Kluyveromyces lactis: one gene and its partners. The protein of the gene in region 5 binds, or shares a complex with, the protein of the main gene of each other region. Links are inferred from orthologs where the notes say so. Each region holds a gene or a part of one and is shown on either strand. Other genes may lie near its edges.

Region 1 (3,089 bases), on a different chromosome or scaffold from region 5:
TTAGTGCTAGATTCTTCCATCAGTGGTGTGGATATTATTAAATGTTTGAGATTTGGTATTCAAGTGGAAAACACCCTGCCACAAATCACCATCGACGCGTCTGATAGCGGCTCCATTTATTTGAGTAAAAACTCTTTACAGGCTCAAATTTTCACCTCTTCTAGCACTGGTATTAACATCAACACTCCAACTGGTCCCGATGGTGACTTCGTTGAAGTTCCACTTCCAGAACAGATGATACACACTTTCGTCGAAGGTAAACTACAAACCAAGATTTACGAACATGCTGGTTGAATATCTGAATAGTATATCTTCTCGTTACTGGGTGTTAGTTTATTCTTTACTCATTAGAACATATAAATATATATATATAATTAATATAATATGATACGATAAAATAATGATAATAATATGTACAAGGTTTCCAAGATACACCATTCTTTTTAAATTGTCATAGTCACAGTGTATCCATTCTTTCGTGTGTATTTGTTTTCGTCAACTTATTTACCCCTTCTCACATAGTACATGTATGAACGTTCATGTACAGGTAAGCCGAATGGAGTAATAACTTCAGATTGACCTGGACGTGCAACAGGGTCTCTTAAGTAGACCGCATGACATGTCTTGAATGATATTTCCAAATGGTGTGGTAGAATGGCGAATGGTGCTAAGAAGGGTCTTGGTTTCCACGGAGTGAAATATGGTTTAGATGGATCGTTACGACCAAACACACCCTTTTGCCATGGTAAATTGATAGCTTTTTGAGCAGCTGGTTCGTTTTCCAATAGTTCAGGAACATTGATCTTTTGATGCAATGGTAACTTTTCAGCCCACTTAGCATCGTATGGAATATCAACAGAATCAACGGATGCCATCTTGTCATTATAATGTTCTCTGACCACGGTTTCATAGAAATGTCTCAAATCAACTATAGTATGATTGATGGCTCTGAATTTTTTCTTTAAGGCATCGTTTGTGTTATCAACAGGTTTAGTTATTCCTGTAGCCACCTTTAGCAATTCACCTTGTTCATTAGGAATTTCAGCCAAAGGCTTCCCTGCTATCGTTTCCACAGCCTTGGCAGACTTGACTTCTCTATAAATTTCGAATCCTTTAGCTGCCAAATTTTCGTTATTGTAAAATTCGCCCAAGAAATCTTTTACTGCCAATTTTTCTACATCGTTAACGCGGTTAACGGTAGAAAAGATCTTAGCTAACAAATACTCGTTACTGGTTTGGTCTAATTCTTTCCTCATTTGAATGTGCATGGTTTTGTTGTAGTTTTCGAGGAAGGATAAAAATTCCTGTTTCTTTGGATCGTTACTATCCATAGTTCTTAGTTTTTCGATCTTTTCATCCCAGAACTTTCTAGGATTCTTTCTAGCCTCTAGAATATATTTGTTCCATAGGAAAATTTGGGTATTATCCACTTTCAAAGCTTCCTTCAAGCTAGGTTTCTTGGCACCAAGAGCTTGTAGCACTTTTTCGGGTCTGACGTTGAAAACATCACCAGCTTTCAAGGCATATCCCGGAGAAGTAATCTTTACACCATTCACATGGACGTTGCCATGTAAAATAAACTGACGAGCTTGTCTCACTGACGAGGCAAACATAGCTCTAAACAAAGCAAAGTCTAGCCTTTTCTCTAGTACAGCGTATGTTTGTAATAGAATGGGCGTCGGTTCGATATCACCACCCCTTAGAGAAGCATCTAATTGAGCCACAGAGTTTAGCTGAGGCTCGAAAACAGACTGCCACCTACTCTCTGTTAAATGTTCGCCATGGTAGGCACGAGTTTCCTGTTTAGAAGTCCATTTCTGTTGGTATAGTGTTTTCGATCTAAAACTGACCTGAGATTTCTTATACAAGTTGAACAAATTGTACTTGTTAAAAGAGGTACGAACCTTCCCTCTGGACAAAGAGTTCAGAAGTACAGCTTTCCTAGGCATTGCTGGTCTTTTTCTTCACAATGTATTGACAAAACTAACCAGAATTGACTGCTTACGGACTCTTCGAAATGGAAATACATTGCATATCCGAACTACCTGCATAATATTTTTCAATCAAACGCTATCTAATGCTTGAAGCTTTCCGATATTGAAAAATTTTTAGAGGAATTTCGTGACATATGATATCAAATATTAGCATTCATAGTTTAGAAAGATGAGAAACACCATAGAACCATATTGAGATGGACTGGCGAAGATGGTATCAAGCCTCATACGATCTGCTTTATCAGCGATCTTGATAGGAACTTTATTATATCAATTGCAAGAACGTTCTTTTGGTGTATAAGGTTGTGATACTTCAGATAAAAGTAATACGATACGGTTCACTGCGATGTCCGCTGTAAAGATAGAATCACCTAGAGGGCAAACATGGAGTAAAGTGGAGGAAATAAGGCTGTTTAAATGGATGATGCTGTTCAAACCTGCAGGAATACATAAACACTTCCATATGGTGTGTTTGCTTGAGCGATTGAACAAGCCAGATCAGTATCCAATCAAACTTTTGCAAAGCGATAAAGGCAGCTCAGATAAAGTGTTTTCTGGGGAGGACGTTTGGGAACAATTGAGTCGGTACTATAATTTAGAGAAGGCAGATGAAGTAGAGAACCAGCCATACCCTGAATTTTATAATGATGACGGACCAACCGAAACTACAAACAAAAAGACAGAAGGGGACGCTCAACTAGATAATGATGATGACAGTGACAATGATGTTGACAATTGTGACGAGCTTAAGAGAAATATAATACCATTACAAAATAGACTCCAGCAAGAGACGGAATTTGAACTATCGTGGGAAGATTATGGAGAACTTATGTTAGAACATGCTAGGGATCATGAGGTGGAAGATATTAAGCAAGAGGAGACCGCTTCTGCGGATGACAAGGCAAAACTGAAGGGTGCGGAATCACAGGATACGCAAGTAGAACAAGAGTCAGAAGAGCCACGGGAACGAGAAAAGGATATCGATGAAAAGGATACTGAGCAAAATAATGTACAGGCGAAACAAGAAATGGCGACCACTCCGCCAGTCAGTGTTGGAGAATCTGTGAGCGAACTGGCGAATGAACCTGTCGATGA
Region 2 (2,596 bases), about 430 kb from region 5:
TGGTTCTAGTCTACCAGGTCATGCAATTGGGTTACTATTAGGATACTTCATGGGGTTGAAAGAGAATTGGGTAGCCAAGATTACTCCACCAAGCTTTGTATTGAAGAAAATTGAAACATGGGTCGATCCATTGATCAATCTGATCCCATTCGGTATTAAGTACTATAGGGAAGTTGAAGTGGACAGATCACTTGAATATACTTCCGTTTACCTGGGGTCAGAATCCAGATTGCCCTTGCATAATACGGATACTCCAGCGGAGCCCACATTTCAAGGAAACGGAAGAGTCTTGGGAAATTGAAATGTGAATCCTCAGAAATTAGATACTAGAGATTTAAATCATCTGCTGTTCTTCTTCTTTTTCTTCAAACCCAACTTTTGAAATATTGATAATTATATTTACATGCGTGTTACTTCGATGCGGCGGGGAGAATTATATTCATTCTATATACATAGGGAAACATCCTTTTTAATTATTTTCTGTCATTCCTCTTTTTCTCTCATACGTTGAGTTCCTCGAGTATGTGCTTTCTCAAGATGTTCTTCTTGATATTCTTCTTCAACAGTTGAGGATTCTCCAAACCTTTCGATAGTAAAAATTCATTAGCCAAGGATTCGTTCTTGGTATACTCTGCCAATTTTTCTGTAATAGCATCGATCTTCTGCTGCTGTTGTTTCACTTGGGTTTCAATCTTGAGAATATCCAACTGTAATATTTGCTTCAAGGATTCCGGACTAAACTTATCAATTCCGTAACGGCTCTTAATCTCTTTAACTGCGGCAGAATCCTCGGTACCATCTGTATAAGCCTTCTGTAATACACGAACATCATTCAAAAGTGTCGATTCCACACCCTGTTTACGTTCTCTCCTTTCTAAAAAGGCCTTAGTCTTCTCGTTTTCCTCGCTGGCAACGTTGATCTTGGCCTGTTCTTGGAATAAAGCAAATTGTTGACCTTTATTTCTGATAATTTCAGCAACGGAAAAAAACTTTCTCTTGGACAAAGGTCTCGTAGCTTCAATACGTACTAAATCCCCTTCACGAGAAACCTCAGATTCATCATGAACCAAATAATCCTTCCTATGGAACAACTCTTTGTTGATTCTCTTATCGAAAACTTTGGTCTCAACACGAACTTTCACAGTCTTCTGCATCTTCCCTTGGGAGATGACCATCCCAATAAAATTTTGACGAGCCATGGTTGAAGGTGGGCTAATTTATTCTTGGATAGTGGTATCGACGAACCAATTGACACAGAGCTAACTAGACTGCTCTATTGTTCTTTTAACAGCATCGACCTAACCGTTCATGGCCTCAAGGCTTTAAAATTTTTTGATGTTGGAAAGATCACCACCGTTTCTAATGATAGATCACGTGATTTAGTTCTTCACCAAGAATATGGAGGTATGAGGTTAGTCTTGGGTTTTATAGAACTAAACTACTTCTTAGCACACTTGGCCCAGTTTGAAACGTCCGTGGGTAGATTAGAATGTTATAAGGCAATGTGGGACGCTAAATGTCCCTTTTTCATGTTCCTGTTGCTCTTGAGAATGGCAAACGGCTTAACATTCTGGCCATAAAAATTAAAGGATTGGTCTGTTTTAGAATCTTCACATGACCTTAAATATCGAAACTAACCGAGAGAAGGGGTTTGAAGGGGTCTACGATACCAGAAAGACCAATCAAAACACTGCGATATACATTTAAATTACAGAGGATTTCTATTTCAAAGATTTTTCAAGGAAAACTAGCCATTAATCATGGATTATCGAAATAGTAAAAGGTCCAGTATCTCATTTGGAAGCTATCAAAGGCAACTGAACCTGTTAGACAATGTAGGGAACAACGGAGTTAATTTCTACCAGCGACCAAACCAAGGCCATTCTCAACAGTTACAACATGGGCAGCAACAGCAGCAACAGCAACAGTTGGGACTGGGGAGTGGGAATAGTAACTATACATTGGACAAGCTAAAAACGGTAACGACATGTCAGTACCAGTCCAGCGCTCCACTTTTCGCGCTTTCTTGGAATCAGAACGATCAATGTGCCCTGGGGACATATAAGGAAGATTCCTACAATAGAATAGAGATCATCAACGGATCGAACGATTATTCTACATGGGAATGTACCAACGTTGCTAACGTGGTTTATCCTATATCCAGGATCCAATGGATGCCTCAAAACAATACAAGACTAGCAACATGCTCGGATTCCCTAAGGATATGGTCGTTGGATGGCAGTTTACAGGAACAGATCAACCTTTCTTTATACAAATACGGGAAACACCCTAGTTCTGCGTCTCAAAAGGATACTGTCACGTTGGGCCAACTCCCACCCGTCACATCGTTCCATTGGAGTCCCATCTCCCCTAACCTACTATTATCGTGTAGCATCGACACGACGTGTACCGTATGGGATCTTTCGAACTCTACCAACTACGTAAAGACGCAATTGATTGCACATGATAGCGAAGTGTTCGACGTGAAATTCTTGGCACAATCGACGCAGTTGTTTGCCAGCTGCGGTGGTGATGGATCCGTCAGAGTGTTTGACCTCAGATCACTGGCACACAGTACCATCGTGTACGATCACGG
Region 3 (2,687 bases), on a different chromosome or scaffold from region 5:
TGTCTTCTTTGTTTTGATAGGTTTCCAGTCAACAGTCGATGTCCTGACCGTGCTATAAAGTCGTCTTACCGGCCTTACCTTTGGTACAGTGAATGGCCTAGCCACAATGAAGCGAAACATATGCTTTGCTAATTGTGTGATACTAGTAGCTTCCGCTAAGAATTGAAATGCGTTTGAACAATTAGTAACAGCAAAGAAGTTAAAGCTTTTCTAATCATGTTTATACGCGATTAGATATACTACTCATCTGCTTTCATCATCTTCATTTTCCAATCTTTTAAAGATCAGAAAAGTGTGAAATATTCTAAAAGTCACGTGAAGAAGAATTTGGAACTCCGACGTTGTGGGGATATTAATATGTACAAGGTTACGTAGATCTGAGTATTGATTGTTTTATGAGAATGATCATCTAGGTCGTAATTGAATCATGTGAAGGTTGTTCAGATAGTTTCTTCATAGGAGAAAAAGTGAAAGTAATTTAAATATGGAGTTGGTTGAAATCAAGCAGAGTAATATACCTTCTTGACATCCACAATTTTCTTACCTCTACCTAGAGCAATTTCATCTATAGATTTTTGAGACTTGGTGATAGCGTCTATAGTACCCTTGGCTATGTTCATGATATTTCTACTCTTGTAAACTTTTGCACTTAAATCTTTGATACCAGCACATTCACAAATTTCATAAATTACGTGATTGACTCTTAGACCGAAACCTGGCTTAGCAGCTCTCAAGAATAGTTTCACACCGTGGTATCTATAGTCTATGTCTTCAAAAATAGTTCTTTTTTCAAATCTAGGCACTTCTTTTAAGTTCCTCACTGCATCCCAATGAGCTTTCTTGATGGATTCTGCCATATCTTCACGGGATTTACCCTCACCGATTCCTACCATACCATTCTTATCACCAACAACCACAAGAGAATAGAAGGATGGAATTTTACCTTTTGCAGTTTGATTAGAAACCATCTTTAAGATCAATGGTTTCATCACTAGTTTTCTGGCGATATGTTGAGCATCGAACCCCGTCTGTAGTTGGATATTATTGGCAATGTTTTGTATATCTGATCTGCCTTCAGTTTGTAAGTATGAACCCACAGGAGGAGTCAAATCTGGATGCTTTTCCATCTCTTGAACGAATACCGAAGATGAGCTTGAATGTAGATGTGGAGAGTTTGGTTTATAATCCCAATAAGGATGTAATGTGGCAAAGTTATCCAAATATGGTGGTGAGAATTCAACATTTGTCTGTGGTTTGAACTCTACATTGTCAGGAATTACTTTATCAGCTAAGGAAATAGACTTGAGTAGTTCTGGAGAGTAGTATTTCTTCAACAGGTCTTGTTGAAATACACGAGCAGTGCTCGAGAAACAACGGACGAACATTCTCAAATACGATCAGGGTTATTGAGAAAGACGCTGCAACTCACTATGTTGAATTTTGCTCCTCGACCTGTCTAAACCTGCTTCAAAAGACTTCTGGTGTCAATTATATTAGACCTTATTCTGGTGTATATGTCTGAGTATGTTGCCATTCTGTATTAACTATTGAAATTTTTTTAATTTTTGAAAATCGATCAATCGTTACAAATGAGAGAGCATTATTCTTGATCATGTGATTAGAAATTCACAATTCTTAGCTGAAGATCCACCCACTAAGGTATGGTAAGATTAGCAGTGGTTGCACATCTTTAAAATCTTCTTCAGACGTTCAAAGGAGGATACATGGAGTATGTTTCAGGTATGTTCCACGCATCTTTACCCTTACATGGTAGATGACACTATCATATGGAATGCTATCCGGGTAACATGTTTTTTTGTTTCATTTCTGAGTCTGTTTCATCCAATATTGAGCTCTGTCGCTTAAACAACGACTTACCTGCTTTAATAAAGCCGGTCACTAAAACATCTATATTAGTGGTTTAGTATCGCTATATACAATTTCCAGAGAAGATCTTTTTTCAAAACACTACATATTCTTCTGATACATAGTGGAGCAACATGTTTCAGCTGGCAATGTTATACACGGGCTTTGTTGTCATTAGAATCAATATTAGTACCATATCCTTTCAGTACCTTAAAGATGAAACATTCATATCACGAAGACTCTTCTTTTAGGTATATATTTTACTATGTTTTAAAACCCATTTAGAAAGATTCTTTATCTACAGGAAATAATGAACTAAATACAAATAGTATTTAGTTATGCAGGAACATGAAGACCAATAGAATAAAGATGATCTGGTGTCTTGCCCTGCATGAAGAGAGAGTAATCCCAAAATGCCTGAATTTTTGAAAAACTGCAGATGTTTTCTTTCTCAATTTTGGTCCGAGAATAAATTCATATGAGACATACCAATCCTGTTGGTTCTCTTTCCAAATGAAATCAACTCCACTTATCTGACAAGATTACCATATAAGTTACTCGTTAATTTATATAAAAATATTGGAACGAAATACTCGTTCACATGGATGGAGGTAGAATCTGAAATCAATTCGGAAGAAGTTATGTTTTCTGGAACCAATCCCTAGTGGCAATGCGACATCAATAGTGATTTACTTGTGCGTCATGTGAAAATTCCATGCCGCAGGTAGATTGACAAACTAATGCATTTACTAACGCTACCCAGCAGTGATATACATATGGTAAGAAAGGAAACCACCTGGCCTTGCAAGTTTTCTTTTCCT
Region 4 (3,155 bases), on a different chromosome or scaffold from region 5:
TATGGGAAGGAGTCCCCGGGAGAAGAGTATATAAAATTATTTATACACCCCGCGGCTTATTCCCTGGAATTCCAGGGAATAAGTCCGCGGGAAAAGTATTATAAATAAATTAATAAATAAATAAATAAATAAATAAATAAATTATTAATACTAATAATAAGTATTATACCCCGCGGGAAAATGTATATTATATATTTATTTATATATAAAATTAATAATATAAAATTAATTTTTATTAGTATTTAGAGGTCCTTAAGGAAATAGTAAGGAGAACGCGGGAAAGATATATATTAATTTATTATATATTATAAAATATTTATATTTTTACCCCCCCCTTCATATAATATGAAGGGGGGATTATATGTATATATTAATTTATTATATATTATATAATTATATAATTATAATATAAAGAAAGAAGCCCCACGCGGCATTACCCTAGGGTAATGCCGCGTGGGGGAAGAATATTGATTATTTATTTATTATTATTAATTAATAAATTAAATAGTATTTAATTTAACTTTAATATTATATTTACCATTTTTATTAACATCAGAAATATTAGTAATATTATGGTTAACAGGGATATAATTTAATTTATAATTATTAACCATTTGATTACCTCAAATATATTTATAGTTTTGGAATGTACCATTTAAAATATTCATTGTATTAGATCTAGAAATAGATTTATTATTAGATAATCTACCTTTTAATTGAATTGATCATCCTACTAAATATTTAAACATTAAAATATTATTAGGGATAGTATTAATATTATTATTTTCATAAATAATATTATATAATTTCCCCGCGGCTCCTCCCCTGGGATTACCAGGAGAGGAGTCCGCGGGGTTATTATTATTATTATTATTAATTGATTTAATAATATTATTATATTTATTAAACATAATATTATTAATATTATTAATATATGTTTGACTAATTAATTTATCATTTAATTTAGGCATATTATTCATTAAATTTTTAATTCTATTCATTGATAAACTTCTTTTAGAAGATGAATTCATAATTTTTAATGATTTAGCTAAAATATCACTATTCATATAATTATATTTTAATTGAATAGGTTCAAATGATACATCTTTATTATAATATAATGATAAAATATTACTAATACTATTAATGTTATTATTTAATAAATTAATTAATTTACTATTAATATTAAATTTATAATTACTATAAATATTATTAATTAAATTATTGTTATTATTAATATTTTTATTAATATTTTTATATGATAAATAATAGAAAAATTTAATATTAACTTTATTAATACTATGTTCAAAGATAGGTTTAGAAATAATTAATTTATAAATTTTATTATTAATATTTAATACTAATAATTTTGTTAATAATTTAGTTACTAATCTATCATAAATAGTATTATTAATTTCTTCAGTTTTATTAAATTTATAAATTTGAGATGATCAAGAATTAATATTATTTAAATGTTGTAATTTTACACCTTTATTACTTAATTCATTTAAATAATCTCAAATATAAGTTTTATTTAAAGATCTATTTAATCTTTTATTATTTAATAATAATAATAATTCTTTTATAGAATTTAAATTGTTTATATTATTAATATTTTTAATAATATTTAAATTTGTTGTATGTTTATTCATTGTATTTATATTTATTTATATATATTGATCGTATAATATATATATATAAAACTATATATATATTATTATTAAATTATTAAAAAATTTAACATGTTTATTATATTTACTACTTATAAATATAAAATAAAATATTTATTATATATTTTATAAATTATGTATATTCCGCGATATCATCATATGATGATATCGCGGGAAAGAGATAAATTCCCGCGGATCCTCTACTGGTAATACCAGTAGAGGATCCGCGGGGTAAGATAATATATTCTATTTATAATTATTATTAAAGAGATAATCTATTTTATTTCCCCCCCCCCCAATCTCATATTATGAGATTGGGGGGAATCGATATATAAACCCCGGACGCCATCGTCCGACCGTAGGGTCGGACGAGGCGTCCGGGGAATTGTATTTATTTATATAGATCTATTATATATAATAATATAATTATTAATCGCCAAATACCCCTATTATAGGGGTATTTGGCGATACTAGATATATATTTAATATTACTAATAATATACTATATATAAATAGTTTTCATAATTAACTTTTCCCCATTGCGGACTCCTCCCTTCGGGGGGGGGGGAGTCCGCAATGGGGTTTATAAGTAAGTATAATATAATAATAATTATATTAAAATATAAATATTATCATATATATATATATTATATATATATATTAAGTAATATTATTTCTATAAATTAAATTAACATTTAAATTTATAAATGTATAGATTATAAAAATATTTATGACACATTTAGAAAGAAGTAGACATCAACAATTTCCCTTTCATTTAGTAGCTCCATCACCATGACCAATTGTAGTATCATTTGCATTAATGTCATTAGCATTATCATTAGCTTTAACTATGCATGGATATATTGGACATATGTATTTAATTTATTTATCAATTTTAACAGTAACATTAAGTGCTACATTATGATTTAGAGATATTATTGCTGAAGCAACATATTTAGGAGATCATACAATTGCTGTTAGAAAAGGTATTAATTTAGGTTTCTTATTATTCGTAGTATCAGAAATTTTAATTTTCGCTGCATTATTCTGAGCTTATTTCCATTCAGCTATGAGCCCTAATATTGAATTAGGTGGTGTATGACCTCCAGTTGGTATTCAAGCTGTACAACCTACAGAATTACCTTTATTAAATACTATTATCTTATTATCTTCAGGTGCTACTATTACATATAGTCATCATGGATTAGTAGGTGGTAATAGAAAAAATGCATTATCAGGATTATTAATTACATTCTGATTAATTGTTATTTTTGTTACTTGTCAATATATCGAATATACTAATGCTACTTTCACAATTACTGATGGTGTATATGGATCAGTATTCTATGCTGGTACAGGATTACATTTCTTACATATGGTTATGTTAGCAGCAATGTTAGGTATTAATTATTGAAGATTAAGAAACTATCATTTAACAGCTACTCATCATGTAGGTTATGAAACAACAGTGTTGTACTGCCATAT
Region 5 (2,630 bases):
AGGAAGCATTGTGGAGTAATTGAAGATTTTCTTTGTGGTATTGTTTCAAATTTTTCATATCACTTCACTTATTTTTATTCTTTCCCAATTGAAATTAATCTTTGATCCTTTAATTTGTAAAACACTTACGTGCAATTCAGTACATGGACCTTATTTTCGTACACACGTTGTTCAAATACTATGCCAAAATAATGAGTGGTATATTTTAATGTCAAGTCAACGTATAACTTATCTACAATGCATCTATGCAGTGCCAAATTTCTTCAAATATTCCGCCGTCAGTTTACTTCTTTGAATTACTCGGTGACAAGTTTGAAAGAATCTCATTTAGCATTGCTGATCAACTAAATCTACAGTTGAAGTAGCTATCATCTTAGATATGTAAGGTTTGTCTTTTCACCCTTTAACGAATAGATGGCTGTTGCTATACAATTAAATTGGTCATTAATTTGTGCGTATATGGCTATTTACAGTTGTTTTTGTGTGTTTTAAAAGGTTGATCAAAGCTGTTTGTGTAATAGCTCAACAAGATCCACTGTTTTCCTTGGAGCATCTTGTGGACGTTTCCACTCTTCTGGGAACTCGTACCCACGCTTTTTCTTACGCAATTGTCTTGCGATGATATGTCTTTTATCGAGAGGAACATCAGCAAAGTCGTCTTTCAAATCTTTAGCCTCCTTGAGTAATTCTAGAAGAATGCTGTTTAAGTACTTTGCATTTTGAGCTGGTTCTTCATAGCGATCAGAAGACATTCTCAAAGTATCTGTAGTAGAATCATAACGTGTTTTTGCCAATAGACGCAGCTTATGCAGTTCCCTCTGTTCCAAGCCGAGATCCGATGTCTTCACAGATAAGACAACCTTACGAGAATTTGGATGTTCTTCACCAAGATATGTTGTATAACGATAAGCTACTGGATGAGTCTTTGTTGAAGGGCGTTTATATTCTTGACGATACTGCGCAAGTAAAGGAAGTTCAAATGCTGCCAAACGATTGTAGAAACGTTGTTCACGATGTTGATGAACTAAAATTTGTGATTGTGATGGCAAATCATCAAACTGATATTGATCCAAGTTGACATGCTCGTCTAGACCTCTTGCAATGCCCATTTCTGCCTCAACTTCTTCAGGTGTCTTATGATAGTACTCTTTGAAAAGTTTTGCTGGAATTCCAGACGCTTCGGCAGTGGGTAACAATGCTTTCAACTCTTCTTCGCAAGGCTTATATAGGGGCCCTAGTCTTGCCTTTCTTTCATTGTGCAACGTTATGATATCTTTACTATCCAAACCGATCCATTTCGATGGATCCTTGTAAAGTGTTGAGGAAATGGTCGCAACTTCTTTCGTAACGGTGGAGTTTAAACGTCTACTACAAAAGAATGCAGTACGTTGCACGCTAGCACCAGTAATCATTGTTGAGTGCCTAAGATGATTACGTTATCGCAGACCTTTTAACACTTTGAATATAATTGGCTTTCTCTGGTTCCGATTGGTGTTGTATCGAGGATTATTGGTATTTCTGGTAAACTTGGAAAATTTTTTGCAGAGAAAAGGCGGAGGTCACGTGATAATAAATTTTCTATGAAAATATCTGTCAAAGTAACGGAAGATAAACAACGAAGCAACAAACAGAACAAAGTCATTAATATTGCCAAAGCTGGAAAGCAGCCTATCTTTTAACGATAGTCAACAGTGGACAAAGGTGGAATCAAGTAGATTGCTAAACCAGATCTTCACTCAGTAAAACACCACTGGTATATTATGTCAAGGAATACGCGAAGAGGCAAAGGAATAAGAGAGCAGAAAAGAGATGACGCTGGGCTACATGAACCGTCGAATATTCTAAATTCGATGCTGAAGTCTTTAGACTTGACTTTTGAGAATGACATAGGTTTACTGAACGGTAAATACGTGAGGTCGGTTCCTGAGAAACCGGTTTTGCAAACAACTAAAGATCAACTAGAAAATCTAGGAAAATGTTTGGAGAAAATTGCAGCTAGTGATCAAGAGAATTTAGACCTAATCAAGGAAATGCGGGAAGATATAATAAGGCTCGAAGATGAGAAACAAAAAGAGAAGGAGGAAGCAGAAGCTGCAACAAACCTTGCAGCCCAGAACGCAGAAAATGATTCAATTAATAAAAAACTTGATGAATCTAGCGAAGTCGTATCGGATAAAAGATCAATTACAGAAGAGAACGAGGAGACAGACAAAAGGCCACAAGATACTATTGAAGAAGCGGAAGTTTTATCATCAGATGGTCACATATCAAAGAAAGCAAAGCTAGATATTGATAAAATGGAAAATGATCCTAACATTAGAAACCCCAAGTCTGAATTTGTAGTATCTCAAACGTTACCTGCTGCTGCAATGAGATTAGGTTTGTTTCAAGAGGAGGGTCTTGAAGCTACTGGTGAGGAATATTTGAAAAAGAAATACGGGGTAGTAAGCTATCCTACAAATGACTTAAAGGAACTTCTACCCGGTGAGCTGCCTGATATGGATTTCTCGAAACCTAAACCCACAAACCAAATTCAGTTTAATACTTTTCTCTCATCCATCGAGGCCTTTTACAGAGAATTCAATGATGACGATATCAAATTCCTTCAAAACAAATTCATCATGCCACAA
Region 6 (2,349 bases), on a different chromosome or scaffold from region 5:
ATGTAACATCATGAGCACTAATCTCCAATACAAACCTGAACATTACACCAAACATACCTATTAAATACTTGAGAAGTTAGACATTCACTCACTCATTCACAAAAACATAACATAAACCATCTTTTTGTTCTTGTAATTTTGTTAATATTTATGAATTTTCGGAAATCACATAGTTTAACAGTCAGTATTCCTCGATGATACTTCCCTCATTCAGGGAAATATATGCTGATGACGATTATTATTATTGTGTAGAATTACCTGATAGCATCTTATATATGGTGATATGTAAATTTAATCACTTCAATTTTACCGCATGGGGCCAAGCTGTTAAGTGTATGTAACTACTACATTGGTTTATGACCGGAAAAAGTGCCCGAATTCCTCTTATCAATTTAAGCCTATATACATGAGTTCTTGACCGTAAGAAAGCCTTGGGAGATGGTGATTTATGCCCTGATTATTGATATACCGCTTTTAATACAGTAATCGGAACAGCTGGTCTATTCTTCAAAGACTTCTTTCCTAGGTTCAATAACAACCCTACTACTTGTGTAGGTCTTTCCCCAATTTTCATCCAGGATTCCAGCTTTTCTCAATAGTCTTGTTACCGTATCACTAGGTTGAGCACCAACACCGATCCAGTATTTAGCTCTTCCGAAGTCTAATTCCACATCTTTAGTAGGAACAACACCTTGTTTAACCTCTTTCTTCGTTAATGGTTTTGGGATTGGGTTGTATGTTCCTAATACTTCAATTGGTTTCCTATTCAACGCCTTATGTTTGTTGGTAACAACTATGTTGTATACTGGGGTATGTTTCCTTCCGAATCTAGCTAGTCTTATCCTCACCAAACCTTTCGTCATGATTATTGTATTTCACCAAACTTGGCGTTAAATTCTGGTTTAAGAGACTTGGTTTACTCGCTCTGGTCGTCTTGATACATAATATGTTTGTCCTGTTATTACGCTTTTAATGTTGATTGAATTTTTTTTTCTATCTTTCGAAGGATTTTCAACACCAACTAAATAAAGCATGTCTATCACGTGATATAGGTGGGATATCTAACAGCCGTATGAGCAACATTCGTCTTAGGCGTTTATGGCGACATTACAGCCTAATAGTATAGGAAGTTGATCTATGAGAAAGTATCTATAAGTGAGAAAGTGTTTATTTACTGGAGTTAGACTGACGGTGGGAATTAGTTTACCAAAAATGCAGTCATATAAAACGACTTGGCATTACAAATAACATCGCATTCAGTAAAGAAAGTTAACGACACAAATAATGAAATAGTATGTTCTTGAACCCGTTTAGCAGACGCATATATACAGAGTTGGCATATATTAACCAAAATTTATTTACTTTTTATTCTCTGCTTTCTTCATTGCCTCACGATCCTTGCTGCTTCATCACTAAGGGCTTAAAAAGAAATTTTTCACAAGCTGTATAAAATTTTCAATCTAGCTCATCTCATCGCTCATCTCATCTAACAAGTAGAGACGAGTTATAATCAACAACACCTCAGAAAAGAGAATTACTGAGTTTAACTTGGGATTGAAAACTGACAAGCGAACAAATTGTGCAATATGGGTCCTGAACAAGCGTCCAAGCTTCTTGAACTTGAAGATAAGCTTGCTAAAATCAGAGGACAATCTACATCAAAACTAGAGAATCAGAAGCACATTGCCATAATCTTGGCTGCTATTGAAGAAAATATTAATGAGCAAGAGGCAATTAATAAGAACATCGTGAATTATCTTATTTCTTTGATGTCCTTGCTGGATCAAACTATCGATACAGAAACTGCGGCCATTAAAGATCTACAATTAGCAACATCAACGATGTATTTGTTGGACATCATTTTTCATTATACACCAAAGAAAATATTAAAGAGCAGGTTTGCTGATATTTTGATTAAAGTTGCCCCATGTATTACTGATGAAAAGGCTAACGCTCCTTTGATCAAATCCGCTCTTGGTTGTTTAGAAGCTTTGTTAATTGCCCAGGATACGCAAACGTGGAATAACACTCAAAATTTAAAGGTGACTCCAACAAGAGGTTTGGATGGTCTACTTGAGCTATCTCTAGATCCAAGACCAAAAGTAAGGAAGAGAGCACAGGATGCAATTACCAACATTCTAAAAAACCCTCCACCTGGTCCAACAGCAGAACACGTCGCATCACCTTTGATCTCAGCATTCGCTATTAATGCATTGGTATCCATCCTTGATGAATCTGCAACGATTTCCAATAAGAAGCTAAGAGCAATGGGAGGTGCAAGTGAATTGAACTCCAAAATCATTCATATTTTGAAACTTTTGAGCAATATAATATCAACAAATCAATGGC
Region 7 (2,067 bases), on a different chromosome or scaffold from region 5:
TAATTGGCAGAAGTAAAGATCCAAAAAAAAAGAAGAGGGAAGACGAACAAACCATATTCATTTGTTTCTAATTGATCAATTTTTAATATACAAATGTCAGCAATTAATTTCCGTTGAATTTCCTAATTTTTTCTCCTCGTTCTTTTCTTTGTTTCCATCTGGTTTCAAGTGACCATCCCTCCCTGACATTTTCTCTTCTACCTCTCTTCTGTTTTGTGTGTTTCTACCTATAAATTATTTTTATATACCTACACTCTTTTATTTTGTAAGAAACTTAAATATTATCACCACTATACTGCACTTTCTCATCTTATAAATGTCACTTGCTTTGCCACAACCCAAGCGCTTCTTTTACATTGATTAAACCTTGTATTTTTTAATGTCTATACACAAGCTTTATATATGTTGAGTTAATTAAAAATATTTACATGCATGCGGGAGAGAAAGATTCCAACTTTTACTAACCTCAGTATCAGGGAACAAAAGATGCTAAACTGCATCTACCATACACCCTTCTTCACACCAGGTAGATCACCTTTCCTGGCAAGTTCTCTGAATTGCGATCTACACAATCTGAAATCACTCAGAACAGATCTGGAGTGTCCCGTTTCAATACATCTGTTCTTGATTTGTGTCATTCTTGTATAGTTAGGCATCACAGAAAGTTGTAACTGAGCTTCCATTCTCGACCTTGGAGGTAGAGTAGTATTTCTAGCAATGAATTTCAATGCCTTTACAGTGACTTCATTGTCTGCAACTTGCTGTCTCTTGAAATTGTCTCTGATAACTCTAGCATTCAAATACGTTGAAGGAAGCTTTGTCTTGATTGGAAATCTGAAACCACCCATGTTGTTTATATCTACAGCCTTCCTTTGGATATACTAATTGCTAGGATAACTATCGAAATTAGTCTCACAGATACTGAATACGCCGAAAACCAAAGAATGCATCCACTAATGCTTGAACTTTATTCTTCATCTTCCGGAGAAGCTCCAAACTCGTTTTTTTCTCTTTCAAAGCTTGAAGTTCATATCATGTTAAACGTTCTTGATGGAGGTCACCTGACTATATTGGCACTATACACGTTATATAAGGAATGGAATGAACACAGCACCATGCCAATGGACTCCCAGTATCATGACTTCTTGATTTCAACTGTATCACCTCTTAGTTCTCTTGCCTTTCTAGCACTTGAATAAGCTCCTTGTTTGGATGTACCGTGTAATCCACTTCTGTAGACAGCCGAAACAATGTTGATCCCGCATACCACTCCGTCAATAATTGGCACTTCATAGCCATTCTGCTGTAAAGCGTTTGCAACAGCATTTTTCAAGTCGCTCATCCCTGCACAGCCCAAGATGATGGTGTCTGCGTGATATTCTTCTACTAAGGTCAAGGCAGTTTTAGACATTGTTTTATGAAGCTCAGCTTCTTCCACTTTGACCAAATCCGATACGGTTTTGATACCAGAACTTAACAATCCAACGCAAAATGTGGACATGCCAAGACCTGCTATGGTTTCCTCATCTCTTAACTGAGCCTTGTAAATTGATGCAAGAATACCGAATTTTGATCCAATGATCCTGGATGAGTACACGGCTGCTTCCACGATACCCATGCACACAACATCATCAAATTCTTCCCTGATAGATTTTATCAATGGATGGTCGCTAAAACATCCAACAAGTACACAATCGACTTGGTTTATTACATCGTAAGCATCTTCCATAACGGCAATTGCAGATTGAATACCATCGAGATGACCCTCAATCACATTGGGTGCCTTACCAAATGGTGCAGTGTACCCGTAAACCACAGTGTCTGGAGCTACATGACCAGCCAATATCTTTAAACAGGCATCGGTCATTGCTTGGGTTGAATTAGGGTTTACAAATAAGACCTTGATGAGCTCATCATCTGGTAAACTCTTCTTGTGCTTTACGAAAGGTAATTTAGACAACGACATCCTTGCTTGTTAGTGTCAGCTATGTTCTATGATTCAATATGTTAATCATCCTGGAATAATGAGCTACTTGACTCCTATCATACAGAGTTATATAAGTTTCT

Evidence for each region.
Region 1: RSM24 (region 5) and NAM9 share a complex: the UniProt entries of both Saccharomyces cerevisiae proteins name them as parts of the mitochondrial small ribosomal subunit. The link is inferred for Kluyveromyces lactis from reciprocal best matches to the Saccharomyces cerevisiae genes RSM24 and NAM9.
Region 2: RSM24 (region 5) and MRPS17 share a complex: the UniProt entries of both Saccharomyces cerevisiae proteins name them as parts of the mitochondrial small ribosomal subunit. The link is inferred for Kluyveromyces lactis from reciprocal best matches to the Saccharomyces cerevisiae genes RSM24 and MRPS17.
Region 3: RSM24 (region 5) and MRPS5 share a complex: the UniProt entries of both Saccharomyces cerevisiae proteins name them as parts of the mitochondrial small ribosomal subunit. The link is inferred for Kluyveromyces lactis from reciprocal best matches to the Saccharomyces cerevisiae genes RSM24 and MRPS5.
Region 4: RSM24 (region 5) and VAR1 share a complex: the UniProt entries of both Saccharomyces cerevisiae proteins name them as parts of the mitochondrial small ribosomal subunit. The link is inferred for Kluyveromyces lactis from reciprocal best matches to the Saccharomyces cerevisiae genes RSM24 and VAR1.
Region 6: RSM24 (region 5) and MRPS16 share a complex: the UniProt entries of both Saccharomyces cerevisiae proteins name them as parts of the mitochondrial small ribosomal subunit. The link is inferred for Kluyveromyces lactis from reciprocal best matches to the Saccharomyces cerevisiae genes RSM24 and MRPS16.
Region 7: RSM24 (region 5) and MRP2 share a complex: the UniProt entries of both Saccharomyces cerevisiae proteins name them as parts of the mitochondrial small ribosomal subunit. The link is inferred for Kluyveromyces lactis from reciprocal best matches to the Saccharomyces cerevisiae genes RSM24 and MRP2.

The regions. Positions count from the first base shown.
Region 1 is NC_006037.1:1,006,620-1,009,708, forward strand, and holds NAM9 (mitochondrial 37S ribosomal protein uS4m), read right to left. Parts: upstream 1,950-3,089; coding exon 501-1,949; downstream 1-500. Other genes in the region: SRV2 (adenylate cyclase-binding protein), read left to right, coding at 1-294; EAF7 (Eaf7p), read left to right, coding at 2,341-3,089. UniProt on the Saccharomyces cerevisiae protein: Component of the mitochondrial ribosome (mitoribosome), a dedicated translation machinery responsible for the synthesis of mitochondrial genome-encoded proteins, including at least some of the essential transmembrane subunits of the mitochondrial respiratory chain.
Region 2 is NC_006040.1:1,091,074-1,093,669, reverse strand, and holds MRPS17 (mitochondrial 37S ribosomal protein uS17m), read right to left. Parts: upstream 1,200-2,596; coding exon 501-1,199; downstream 1-500. Other genes in the region: putative rhomboid protease RBD2, read left to right, coding at 1-301; KLLA0_D12760g (uncharacterized protein), read left to right, coding at 1,761-2,596. UniProt on the Saccharomyces cerevisiae protein: Component of the mitochondrial ribosome (mitoribosome), a dedicated translation machinery responsible for the synthesis of mitochondrial genome-encoded proteins, including at least some of the essential transmembrane subunits of the mitochondrial respiratory chain.
Region 3 is NC_006038.1:1,002,308-1,004,994, forward strand, and holds MRPS5 (mitochondrial 37S ribosomal protein uS5m), read right to left. Parts: upstream 1,386-2,687; coding exon 501-1,385; downstream 1-500. Other genes in the region: cytochrome oxidase assembly protein SHY1, read right to left, coding at 1-120. UniProt on the Saccharomyces cerevisiae protein: Component of the mitochondrial ribosome (mitoribosome), a dedicated translation machinery responsible for the synthesis of mitochondrial genome-encoded proteins, including at least some of the essential transmembrane subunits of the mitochondrial respiratory chain.
Region 4 is NC_006077.1:36,139-39,293, forward strand, and holds VAR1 (ribosomal small subunit protein), read right to left. Parts: upstream 1,668-3,155; coding exon 501-1,667; downstream 1-500. Other genes in the region: COX3 (cytochrome c oxidase subunit 3), read left to right, coding at 2,401-3,155. UniProt on the Saccharomyces cerevisiae protein: Component of the mitochondrial ribosome (mitoribosome), a dedicated translation machinery responsible for the synthesis of mitochondrial genome-encoded proteins, including at least some of the essential transmembrane subunits of the mitochondrial respiratory chain.
Region 5 is NC_006040.1:1,522,990-1,525,619, forward strand, and holds RSM24 (mitochondrial 37S ribosomal protein mS35), read right to left. Parts: upstream 1,413-2,630; coding exon 501-1,412; downstream 1-500. Other genes in the region: histone acetyltransferase NGG1, read left to right, coding at 1,761-2,630. UniProt on the Saccharomyces cerevisiae protein: Component of the mitochondrial ribosome (mitoribosome), a dedicated translation machinery responsible for the synthesis of mitochondrial genome-encoded proteins, including at least some of the essential transmembrane subunits of the mitochondrial respiratory chain.
Region 6 is NC_006042.1:2,519,196-2,521,544, forward strand, and holds MRPS16 (mitochondrial 37S ribosomal protein bS16m), read right to left. Parts: upstream 864-2,349; coding exon 501-863; downstream 1-500. Other genes in the region: mRNA-binding protein RRP12, read left to right, coding at 1,587-2,349. UniProt on the Saccharomyces cerevisiae protein: Component of the mitochondrial ribosome (mitoribosome), a dedicated translation machinery responsible for the synthesis of mitochondrial genome-encoded proteins, including at least some of the essential transmembrane subunits of the mitochondrial respiratory chain.
Region 7 is NC_006038.1:937,252-939,318, forward strand, and holds MRP2 (mitochondrial 37S ribosomal protein uS14m), read right to left. Parts: upstream 849-2,067; coding exon 501-848; downstream 1-500. Other genes in the region: DCG1 (Dcg1p), read right to left, coding at 1,136-1,966. UniProt on the Saccharomyces cerevisiae protein: Component of the mitochondrial ribosome (mitoribosome), a dedicated translation machinery responsible for the synthesis of mitochondrial genome-encoded proteins, including at least some of the essential transmembrane subunits of the mitochondrial respiratory chain.